Caenorhabditis elegans: one gene and its partners. The protein of the gene in region 1 purifies or fractionates together with the protein of each later gene. This does not show direct contact. Each region holds a gene or a part of one and is shown in the gene's direction. Other genes may lie near its edges. The genes, in order: upp-1, adk-1 and enol-1.

The links.
Region 2: the proteins of upp-1 (region 1) and adk-1 fractionate together in Caenorhabditis elegans (co-fractionation; one large-scale study listed by BioGRID). This does not show direct contact.
Region 3: the proteins of upp-1 (region 1) and enol-1 fractionate together in Caenorhabditis elegans (co-fractionation; one large-scale study listed by BioGRID). This does not show direct contact.

Annotation. Positions count from the first base shown.
Region 1 is NC_003281.10:7,641,177-7,644,930, reverse strand, and holds the start of upp-1 (Uridine and thymidine phosphorylase), read left to right. Parts: upstream 1-1,829; 5' UTR 1,830-1,839; coding exon 1,840-1,977; intron 1,978-2,699; exon of another isoform or gene 2,700-2,783; intron 2,784-2,860; coding exon 2,861-3,004; intron 3,005-3,051; coding exon 3,052-3,567; intron 3,568-3,614; coding exon 3,615-3,704; 3' UTR 3,705-3,754. UniProt on the Caenorhabditis elegans protein: Catalyzes the reversible phosphorylytic cleavage of uridine and thymidine to uracil and ribose-phosphate or thymine and deoxyribose-1-phosphate.
Region 2 is NC_003282.8:11,208,996-11,212,749, reverse strand, and holds adk-1 (Adenosine kinase), read left to right. Parts: upstream 1-1,918; 5' UTR 1,919-1,945; coding exon 1,946-2,020; intron 2,021-2,093; coding exon 2,094-2,410; intron 2,411-2,471; coding exon 2,472-2,577; intron 2,578-2,637; coding exon 2,638-2,964; intron 2,965-3,016; coding exon 3,017-3,220; 3' UTR 3,221-3,441; downstream 3,442-3,754. Other genes in the region: R07H5.9 (Kinesin motor domain-containing protein), read right to left, coding at 3,608-3,754.
Region 3 is NC_003280.10:8,929,264-8,933,017, forward strand, and holds the start of enol-1 (Enolase), read left to right. Parts: upstream 1-1,739; coding exon 1,740-1,831; intron 1,832-2,842; coding exon 2,843-2,928; intron 2,929-3,084; coding exon 3,085-3,754. Other genes in the region: cct-2 (T-complex protein 1 subunit beta), read left to right, coding at 1-1, 48-220; mrpl-50 (Large ribosomal subunit protein mL50), read left to right, coding at 590-1,122, 1,176-1,374, 1,421-1,546.

The DNA of each region.
Region 1 (3,754 bases):
AAGAAAACAACTAGTTTTCAGCAAAAAAGGATATAAAATTAATTTTCAAAAACTTTATTTTTAGCATTTTGATGAGATTGCAAATTTAAAATTGAATCTTTTGAAATTATCAACGTTTCTTTTTGAATTCTAACAATAATATGTTGGCAGTCAAAATTTGAAAATTTGAGAACGATGCTCAATAAATTTTTGTTCAGGTTTCAAAAAACTGGAAGAAGCCAGCTTTGAAAGAAATGACGAGTTGGAAACTACAGTACCCATAAAAACGAAAAATCTTTCGCATTTGAAACTCATGCCCTTTTTCGGCAACTCGGCAACCGATTTTTGTGACGTTGTGAGACTACTGTAGACCGAATTTCCAAATATTCAGTGTCACTTAAAAATCATGATAACAATTGATAAGATCACCCCTCATAACTGTGTCCCGTTGACTTTATCATTTCCGTCTTTTTTCGTCATCTTCTTGCGCCACGTGCTGTCTCTTTCGCAGAATCATTGTTATAATCTCGCCATCTTTCATGATTGAAATTTATTGTCAATGTGTTCAGGAACTAGCCTTTTATTTACGATGACAAATAGATGAAACACTGGGGACACTAAAAGCGTAGTTTTGAACAATCAACACCATAAAACTATAAATGAACAAAGTTGGCAGCAAGAATTATCAGCATTATCAGGAGAAAGAACTTTTTGTGCAGATAAGAAACAATTGAACGCGGAGATCAGAATGACATGATTATTATTATCTGTATTCTTACCGCAAACTTTTAAAATAATAATTGAAACAAAAAAGATTCTCGCAAAATTGTAATATTCAAAGTTCGCGCGTTTTTATCTGTCTGCATGTCGACGTGTCGGTGTTTGCACACTTACGCTACATCTTACGACAGGTGTTTTCAAACTCTCGCGAATTTATTTTTTTCCTTCGAAATCATCGAATTTCTTCCATTTAAGTCTAAAAACTTCATATTTTCAGTAAGATAATTCATTACTATTAATATCCAAAGTTTATATCATGTGGTGCTTGAACAAACTGCTGGTGCGAAAAGTTTAAATCAAATAAAAGCAAATCCTTCGTTGAAAACAATCGGAGATTTTCGATTTTCCACGTGGAAACTGTTCTAAACTGCGTCACCATCGTTTTGTTTGTCTTTATTGTCTCAGAAAGTTCAGTTCCTGTTGACTTTTTTACTCAAATTTCAAAACTTTGTCCTTTTACTCAATTTTTCTGACTTGTCGAAGCTTCTTCACAGAAACTGTTTGTTACATCACCACGCTTTCTTTTTTCCGCAAAATAATTTTTCTTTCCATCTATTTCCAATCGTTCCGCCCATTTTCTCGACGAAAACAAAAAAAAAGATAGATAAAAAGGGAGGAGTTTCGAGGTTACTTGCTTTACGGAATAAAAGTTTCATTTTCTCAATATTTTCATTTGGAAATTTGTGAGTTCTTTTTCGTCTTTATATATTAGAGTGATTTTGCTTATTTCAGATTGAAAAATAATTGTTTCACTTTTCTTTTAAATTTCAATTTTTCTCTGAGGTGTACTAAAAGTCTTGGTAGCAAAGGTAGAATCTCGTTTTTCTCGTTTTTATTATTTATCACGTAGCCTGGAGCTCACGAGTTGTCCAAATTGGATTTGAGTCCTTTTTAAGCATCTCTAACCGTCTACTCTCTCTGCTCTCTCCTCGTCTCTTTTGGAGTGCCCTTTTCTTATTCTATGTGATACTGACGACATTTAGCACGCGTATTCTGGTTCCTGTTTTTGTTTTGCTCTCTTTTATTCATGAAGTTTTTTTTTTCATTCCTATAAGTTGGAATTTTTTCAGATCCATCAAGATGAACGGACTTGTCAAGAACGGAAATGTGGAGAAGCCAAACAAGTACTTCGATATCAAGGATAAAAGAGATTTTCTTTATCACTTTGGTTTTGGAGTCGACACTCTCGATATTCCAGCAGTTTTTGGAGATACCAAGGTTGGTTCTACAAAGTCTAGAAAAAATTGAATAAGTGAAAAAGTTCCCTCATTAGTTTTAATATTAGTTCACTCCTAATCTTCGAGAAATGTTCCACTTTAAAAATCGTTTACTATATATAAAGCGCGTGTCCTTCTGTCCCTATGTAGTTTGATCTCTGATCAGAGCAACGAAATTTTGGGAAACCTTATGCTAAGTGCGCAGCAGGCATCGATCGAGGTCCGCGATAGACACCGTATATCTAATGTGTTTTCTCAAAGAAGTCGGGGGCCGCGCCGTAGGTGCGGTCCACGGCTGGTGATTCATAATGTTCCAAAAAATATGAGAAATAATCCATTTATGTCTTCACTTCCCAGGTAGAATGATGCAACAGTTTTCTCTATTCATACATATCGATCAACAGAACAAACACAAAAATATATTCATTCATTTGGCGCTTTTATTTCTTCAATTTTTTGACCCGTTAGTTGTCATGCGAGTTTTCTTCTTTTTGAATTATAAATTTGCATAGCCACGCGCCTCCTGGTGTCCAATTTCAATAGAGGGTAAATATAATTTGAATCGATACCAACACAAAACGAATCTAGAATTTTCAAGAGCTACATATTCCTCACTGATAAGTTTATCTCTCTCCTAGGGCGGGTAATACTTCTAGCCAATTGTTACACAAGCGCCCTTCGTGTCATAGGAATGTCTATGTCTTTACTGCACGTGTCAAACACGCTCCGTTGTGGTCTAGTGGTTAGGATTTATGGCTCTCACTCATAAGGCCGGGGTTCGATTCCCCGCAACGGAAGATTTTTTTTGTTTTTATAGGTGTTGTGTGCCGAAATTGAATCATTTTAGTGAATAATAATTTGCACTATCATTAAGTTAATTTCAGTTCGTCTGCACTGGAGGATCTCCAGGACGTTTCAAGTTGTATGCTGAATGGTTTGCCAAAGAGGCCAATATTCCATGCTCTGAAAATCTCTCACGGTCTGACCGTTTCGTGATTTACAAAACTGGACCAGTTTGCTGGATCAACGTATGTTATTTTGAGGCGACAATTATTTGACAAAAATAAATTTACAGCATGGAATGGGAACCCCATCTTTGAGCATCATGCTCGTCGAATCTTTCAAGTTGATGCACCATGCTGGTGTTAAGAACCCAACTTTCATTCGTCTTGGAACATCTGGAGGAGTCGGTGTTCCACCAGGAACTGTTGTTGTGTCAACTGAAGCCATGAATGCTGAGCTTGGAGATACCTATGTGCAAATCATCGCAGGAAAAAGAATTGAGCGGCCTACTCAACTCGATGCCGCACTCCGCGAGGCTCTTTGCGAAGTCGGAAAAGAGAAAAGCATTCCAGTTGAAACTGGAAAAACCATGTGCGCCGACGATTTCTATGAGGGACAGATGCGTCTTGATGGATACTTTTGCGATTACGAAGAAGAAGACAAGTATGCTTTCTTGCGGAAGCTAAATGCTCTTGGAGTACGAAATATTGAGATGGAGTCAACTTGCTTCGCCAGCTTCACGTGTCGCGCTGGATTCCAGTCTGCTATTGTCTGCGTCACTCTTTTGAATCGTATGGATGGAGATCAGGTAATATTTTGATTCTTATTGACAGTCTTCAATTATAACATTTATAGGTTCAAATCGCCAAAGAGCAATATATTGAATACGAGGAACGTCCATTCCGCCTTGTAACTGCCTACATTCGCAAGCAGACCGGGATCTAATAATCTTAAAATCAAGATTCTCAACTAATTGCTTTCCATGTTTCCTTACC
Region 2 (3,754 bases), on another chromosome or scaffold:
ATACAGTCAAAAGGAATGAAAACTAAGAGTTTTTCTATATTATAATTTTGGAAGTAGAAAAAATGTTACATTTACCAGTTTCATTTTTTAGTTCCGTTTCAAAGAAAAAAATTTAAATAGTTTGGACCTACAAATATGCTTGAAATAACTCAAAAATACGCATTTTTGGCCAATTTTGGCAATTTACTAATGTGCGGCCATGTTAGACTACTTGGAGTTTATTGAGACTAAATCTCCAGTGGCAATATTAAATCTGTAACACGTTTTTTCATTTAATTGAAATATGCAAGTTCTTCAAAACGTAGGTTTTAAAAGTATTTATTTACAATAAGTAAAAAGATTTAAATGTTTAATTTTCATAGAAAATAATGCTCTATAACGGCTATCTATTATATATATAGTGAATAGTGCAGTGAAGGAGAATATGAAAATTCACCTATTAGCTGAGTATCAACTCACAACGTGGGTACGAAAAAAACTTTGTAGTTTTTACTTTTCGGAGTATATAGGTAATTGTTTAACTACTGCCAATAAATATGAGTACAACTTCTATATTACTCCACATAGAAACCCCAATAGATCATTAATTGATCGACTATCAACTTTCAATCAGGCCATTTTCGAAAATTTTTCTCATTTTGAGAACTTATGTGCAGGAGACACCTTCTGTTCATAGAACACAATGGAAATCAATCGGTTTTTTCATAACAGTTGCCGTTGTAGTTTCTTCTCTTTTTTCTATCTTTTTTGCAACTTCCACATGAAAATTGCATTACGCACTGTGTCTGTTTATTCAGGCTTAGTTTCAATTTTAAACTGTTTGCAATAGACTTTAATGTAATTGCTAGGTTTAAAAGCCATTGACAACTAAAATTGTTTTCTAAATTGAACATAACTTGTAAATTGTCTCGTTCAAACCACCACCGCAAGTTAGCCAACTTTTCTTGTTCTGAGGCTAGATGGCATATCGGTAGATACTATCAGTGTCACAATTTGCCGGTCAAAAAACCGATAACGAAATAGCGGAGATCTTTTAGAAACTGCAGACAGACTGGGGAGTAATGGACGATAAAATAGAAGATAGGCTAGTTGGAAGGCGCATTTCTCATCAGAATCGTGTACTTTGTGTGTAACTCATTCTCATTTTTGTCCAAGTTCTAATAAGTTATCTTATTACATTTGAATTTCCACGCCTGATCGTTCACTTTTCTGGAAACTCATCGCTCCCACTTTCGAAAATCGTATTTTTACTATGAATTTTTCAAGTTCTACGATTTTAAAGGGAGGAGCATTTATGCGGATTGGTCTCGCCACGCGCCAGCCATTGATTGAGAAAAATATATCAATAGACGGCTCTTGGCGAGACCATTCCGCATAACTGCTTCCCACTTTAAAATCGTAGAATTGGAAAAGAAATACACAGTATTCATCAAACAATCAGCCATTATTAATATATTATTCAAAATATTATTCAAAATAGCATTCACTAATTTGTGTTTGAAGGAGGTACTTCCACATTTAGAAACTTGCAAATTTTATTCTTGGTTTTTTTAAACGTTCATGTTTTTTAAGATAGCAACGGTGTTTTAAAAACTTTCCGCTTCTGTCAGCAAAGATTTATGATCGATAAAATCTTAAAACACGTTGCAACGACACTCCGATATCCCATGCGATCGTTGTTTATCAAAAATGTCTTTCGGCCGGAATTTCAAATTACAACGTGGATTTCGTGGAAATGTATTGTCCTAAAACACAAAATATCTTGGCTTTACAGCGTTATTCGTGTTCAAAAAAGCACGAAAACGGTTTTTTCGCACTCTTTCTTTGCCAATCTTCTTATTTGTTTTCTCTTATGTCTATTTACTCGTTCAAAACTCGCCTTTTTCTCACTTTTCATTTTCTAATTGTCTATCTGCAGGTAATCCCATCTCCTCACGTCACGGAAATGTCTCCTCTGCCAGAAAACACCCTCATCGGAATGTGCAATCCATTGTTGGACATTCAAACCACCGTTGAAAAGGTAAGTTTTTGATTTCTCTAGAAATCTAGAAGCACATTCAAAAATATTTCATTTTAATTGCTGAAATCTACAGGCATTCCTTGACAAATGGGGACTCAAAGAAAACGACGCCATTCTTTGCGACGACAAGCACAATGACATGTTCACCGAGCTTACCAGAGATTTCAAAGTCGAGTACATTCCAGGAGGAGCCGCACAGAATTCGCTCCGTGTTGCTCAATGGATTTTGAACGCACCAAACCGAACAGTTTTCTTTGGAGCTGTTGGTAAAGATCAGTACGGAGATCTTTTGGCATCGAAAGCCAAAGAAGCTGGAGTGAATGTGCATTATCAGATCAACGAGACAGTTAAGACCGGTACCTGCGCAGCCCTCATCAACGGAACTCATAGGTAAGCGGATCATTGTTTGACGGACAGAAAAATCATCGTTGCCGTGTTGAAATGATTTCAGATCACTCTGTGCTCATTTGGCTGCTGCTAACACCTTCACTCAAGATCATCTCCAGAAGGAGGAGAATCAGAAGATCATCGAGCAGGCCAAATATTTCTATGTCACTGTAAGTTATCGAATTGATTTACAAATAAGCACAAAAGTATTCTCAATGTAAAATTTTCAGGGATTCTTCATCACTGTCTGCCCACCAGCTATTCTCCAACTCGCAAGCCACTCTGCCGAATTCAACAAGACTTTCACCCTTAACCTCTCCGCCCCGTTCATCTCCCAATTTTTCTTCGATAAGCTCTCGGAAATCATTCCATTGGTCGATGTTCTTTTCGGAAACGAAGACGAAGCTGCTGCCTTTGCTAAAGCCAATGGATGGGAGACCACCTGTGTCAAGGAGATCGCTTTGAAGGCTGCTGCACTTCCAAAGAAATCTACTAAGCCAAGACTCGTTGTTTTCACTCAAGGACCAGAGCCAGTCATCGTCGTGGAAGGAGATAAGGTGAGAGTTTTTGATAATTTTTGAATTTATTGTTTTCAATTTTAATCTACAGGTCACCGAATTCCCAGTAACTCGTCTTCCAAAGGAAGAAATCGTCGATACCAACGGTGCCGGAGACGCTTTTGTCGGAGGTTTCCTTTCTCAATTCATCCAAGGAAAGGGAGTCGAAGCTTCAGTCACCTGTGGATCTTATGCTGCTCAAGAAATCATCAAGAAGCACGGATGCACAGTGCCATCTGTTTGCAAGTACCATTAAACTGATAAAATAATCTGTGATCCCAACTTTCTCTGCTTTCAATTTCCCAGTCCCCTGGTTTATAGTATATCAAATTGTTCTTTGTTTTGCTCCCCATTCCCCGTCCTCGAGCATCCCTATTATTCGAAATTTTTCTTTTGGTGTTGTTTTTTTTGTCAAATGTTCCCAAAATGTGCCTTATAATTCATTTATCAGGTGTTTTAATAAAATGGCAAAGTTTTATTCTTCATCCATGTCGATTTGAATTGGAATCTTCTTCCCCTTTTCGACAAAGCCAATCAGATCCAGAACCAGAACGACACTGCCACGGCTGAAATAAAGTTTGTTGCATATTTATCAGGACTAGAGGAATATGATTACTTACAGTTTTGGTAAATTGTAAAACTGTTAGTGATCAACGTCACTTTTCCGAACACGTCGAAGTTTCTGTACGCCGTTCTTATCAAGGAAAGCAAAAAGAACATTAGTTGATTTGATCAGTTGTTCCGCTGGTAGACCTTCGTAGTTCTCATGAAGGACATTGATTAGAATGCT
Region 3 (3,754 bases), on another chromosome or scaffold:
GGTTTGTTCATTTGGAAATCTAACCATTATACAAAATTATCTTTCAGACATCGAGAAAGGAGAGGTTGCTGATGTTACGAAATTGGGCGTTATTGAGTCTTACAATGTGAAGTTGTGCATGGTTTCTTCCGCCGCTGAAGCCACGGAACAAATTCTTCGCGTCGACGATATCATCAAGGCAGCTCCACGTGCCCGTGCTCAAGATAACCGACCATGCTAATCAAATTGTTCGCCAGACTGTTAAAAGATCTTCAACTTTATTCTCCCTTTTTCAGCTTTTAATCGAGTGCTTCAACACAATCGTATCTCGTTTTTTTTCGTCCCCTTCATTCTTATTTTTGATGGAATTTGATACACTTTCTGTTGCTTCTGCCTACCGTTTTTATATGCCCCCGTTTTCAATTTAATATTCGAGAATACCGCGTGTTTTTGCTTGTTGATTTGTTTTCCTTTTAAAATGAATGGAGTGCGATTTACAAAAGGTACAATATTTGAAATGTATTTTATTCCAGTTTTTATCTGATTTTTTATATTTCTGATTAAAGAGAAAAGAAAAAGCTTAAAAGAAAAAATTTAGAACTGCCAAAAGATGCACAGGAGTTTTCCGAGGCTTGTCCGATCGCAAGGTAACTTGTTGAAAGGAATGTTTGGAAAATCCGGGGAAAAGGAAGCAGTAAAGCAGCTGACACTGGAAGAACAGGAGAGCCTTCGCAAGACGCTTCCCAGCATCCGTGCTAGAGAATCCACACAAGTTACTGCTTCAGCTGATTCTGTCACTGAATTTGACGATGATCTGTTGACGATGAGCCGTATCGACACGGATGCCATCCGGGCCAGAGGTTTTCTCAAATACACGCAAAACTATGTTCCCGGCGTTGATGTCAAAAACCAAGTACTTGAAGCAGCGTCATCATGTCTAAGAAGTGCTGGAGTAAAGTCTGAAAACGTGGATCAGTACAAATTTGTGGAAGGAGATAACTCTGTAAAGTTCGAGTTGTTGAACAGGCTGGGAAAATCCATCGAACATTGGCCAACCAATGGAAAACTTCTTCATTTGGAAACAGTGGCAGACGTCGTCGAATTTTATCAGACGCCTGTCAAAAATGTAACAAAATATACAGAGTTAGTTTTTGTTTAAAGATGCTTATTGAATTATTAATTAAAATAAATTATAGAATGGCTCGCGATGAGAACAAACCGAAAAACGTCTCGATTATGGAGCATGCTGCACGTTTCCATCCTGAAGACACTCACATGTATCATGGTGGAATCACTGCATTCCCAGGATCAGGTGGTGAAGTTCTCTCTCTGAGACAGAAACGTCTACTTCGACAGTTCCAACCGAAAAAAGAATGGTTCGATTATGATGATCAGGTAATTTTTAAAGTTTCAGTGCTGACTTAAAATCGGCATTTTTCAGACATTTGATTACACTCGTCCTGACAAGAATATGCCATGGGATCCAGAAGTTGCTAATCAAATGGACAAATACACTGATAAACGATACAACCTAAAAACAAAGCAATTCACTAGGATTCGACAATAAAAAATAATTTGGTTCATTTTTGTATTAGAGTTTCATATTTAGTATTTTTAGACCTATTTTCTTTTTGTTTGATCTATCGATTTTTATTGTTGTAAATAAAATTGACGTTGAAAAAAATATTTTTGACCTCTTCACGTTTTGATCTTCCTCTAAAGTTTTGCTCTACGCAAGTTATTTCAGTTTTTGATTTAAAATGTTTGTTCCATTCACCTCGGCAGCTCACTCGCTCACTTCGCTCATTCGAGGTGGCGGGCAGCCTTCGAAAAGCAATCTGTCTGGACAAAGGTTTTGGTTATCTCTTTTTCTTTATTTTCCGCCAGTTGATTTCATGCTCCCGCGACTTCCACACGCAATCTGCAAAATTTTGGCTGCTGAATCAGGGTAATGGGGTCTGCCGTGCCTTTTTTCCAAAACGTTGACTGATGTTTACTTTTCTTTTATGTTTCATTTTGACTTGTTCAATGGTTTTGAACAATAGTGTGTGCAAACTAACGTTTTTCTTTAAATTCAACACGCAAGCTTTGAGGTGTTTTAGTTAGAAAGAAAATAGTTGTGTTTCTCTTCAAAAATAAGTTTTTTCCGAAATGTTTTGCAAATTTTCCGAATCAACAATTTCTTCTCATATCAGACCTTATCACTTCTTCTCACTTCTAAAACTGACCACTGAACATAAAAAACATTTGGTAACTCGCTTCTCAAATCCAATCTGAAGTGCATGCTTTGCCAATCTGAAACTTCGTGTAAGTCACGTATTTAGGCGAAAGGCAGCCGCTCAAGTCGTCGCTTCTCCCCAGCGGCAGTTGCTGGCGTCCTTGGCCCCTCACTTGTTTTCGAGCCCAAGGCATTGGCTCCTCTTTTCTTCTCGGCATGACGAATTTAATCATAATTCTCAATATCTAGAAGTGTTCAAGAACTTAGTGAATCTGCAATGCCTTTTTTTTGTAACTTCAGTTCGAATCTTAACTGCGTCTCTTTGAGATCTACAAACGAATTTTATTCACTGCCACGAAAAAGAGGCTGTCCGTGCGATTCTATTGAACGTGCGCTCTCGGGCCGCTCACAAACACATCTAACCAGCTGCATTTTCTCTGAGTCTCGTGTCCTCCGTGCGACCTTCGTCACTCTTTCCACTTTCTGCGCCGTCTATTGACGGCGCCGCCTTTTTCTTCTCGCACTCCTTTACCCCTTCTCGCCTCAAACATTTTATCTTTTCAGTTGTTTTGTTTACTAGTGCCCGTTTCTCACGTAGTTTTATATACTTGTTTGATTATTGAAAACATATAGTTCATTTTGCAGGATGCCAATCACCAAGATCCACGCTCGCCAAATCTACGACTCCCGCGGAAACCCAACTGTTGAGGTTGATCTTTTCACTGAGAAAGGTAAGCGAGCATTGTATAAATTCTATCAAAACTTGAAAAACCAATCTAGATTTGAATAAAATAAGATTAATCTTGTTTTATTCAAATCTGAAATTTCATGAAGTATATTTCAACATTATGACGCAATTCCGAAATCACATCATTTCTTGTTTCCAGGAGTCTTCCGTGCCGCAGTTCCATCTGGAGCTTCTACTGGAGTTCATGAGGCCCTCGAGCTTCGTGACGGTGACAAGGCTGTTCACCTCGGAAAGGGGGTTCTCAAGGCCGTCTCGAACATCAACGAGAAGATCGCTCCAGCTCTGATCGCCAAGGGATTCGATGTCACTGCACAGAAGGACATTGACGACTTCATGATGGCTTTGGATGGATCGGAAAACAAGGGAAACCTCGGAGCTAACGCCATTCTCGGAGTTTCACTTGCTGTCGCCAAGGCTGGAGCCGTACACAAGGGACTCCCACTCTACAAGTACATCGCCGAGCTTGCAGGAACTGGAAAGGTTGTGCTCCCTGTTCCAGCCTTCAACGTCATCAATGGTGGATCTCACGCTGGAAACAAGCTCGCTATGCAAGAATTCATGATTCTTCCAGTTGGAGCTTCCAGCTTCGCTGAAGCCATGCGCATGGGATCAGAAGTCTACCACCACTTGAAGGCTGAAATTAAGAAGAGATATGGACTCGATGCCACCGCTGTTGGAGATGAAGGAGGTTTCGCTCCAAATATTCAAGACAACAAGGAAGGACTTGACCTTCTCAACACTGCCATCGACAAGGCTGGATACACTGGAAAGATTTCCATTGGAATGGATGTCGCAGCATCGGAATTCTT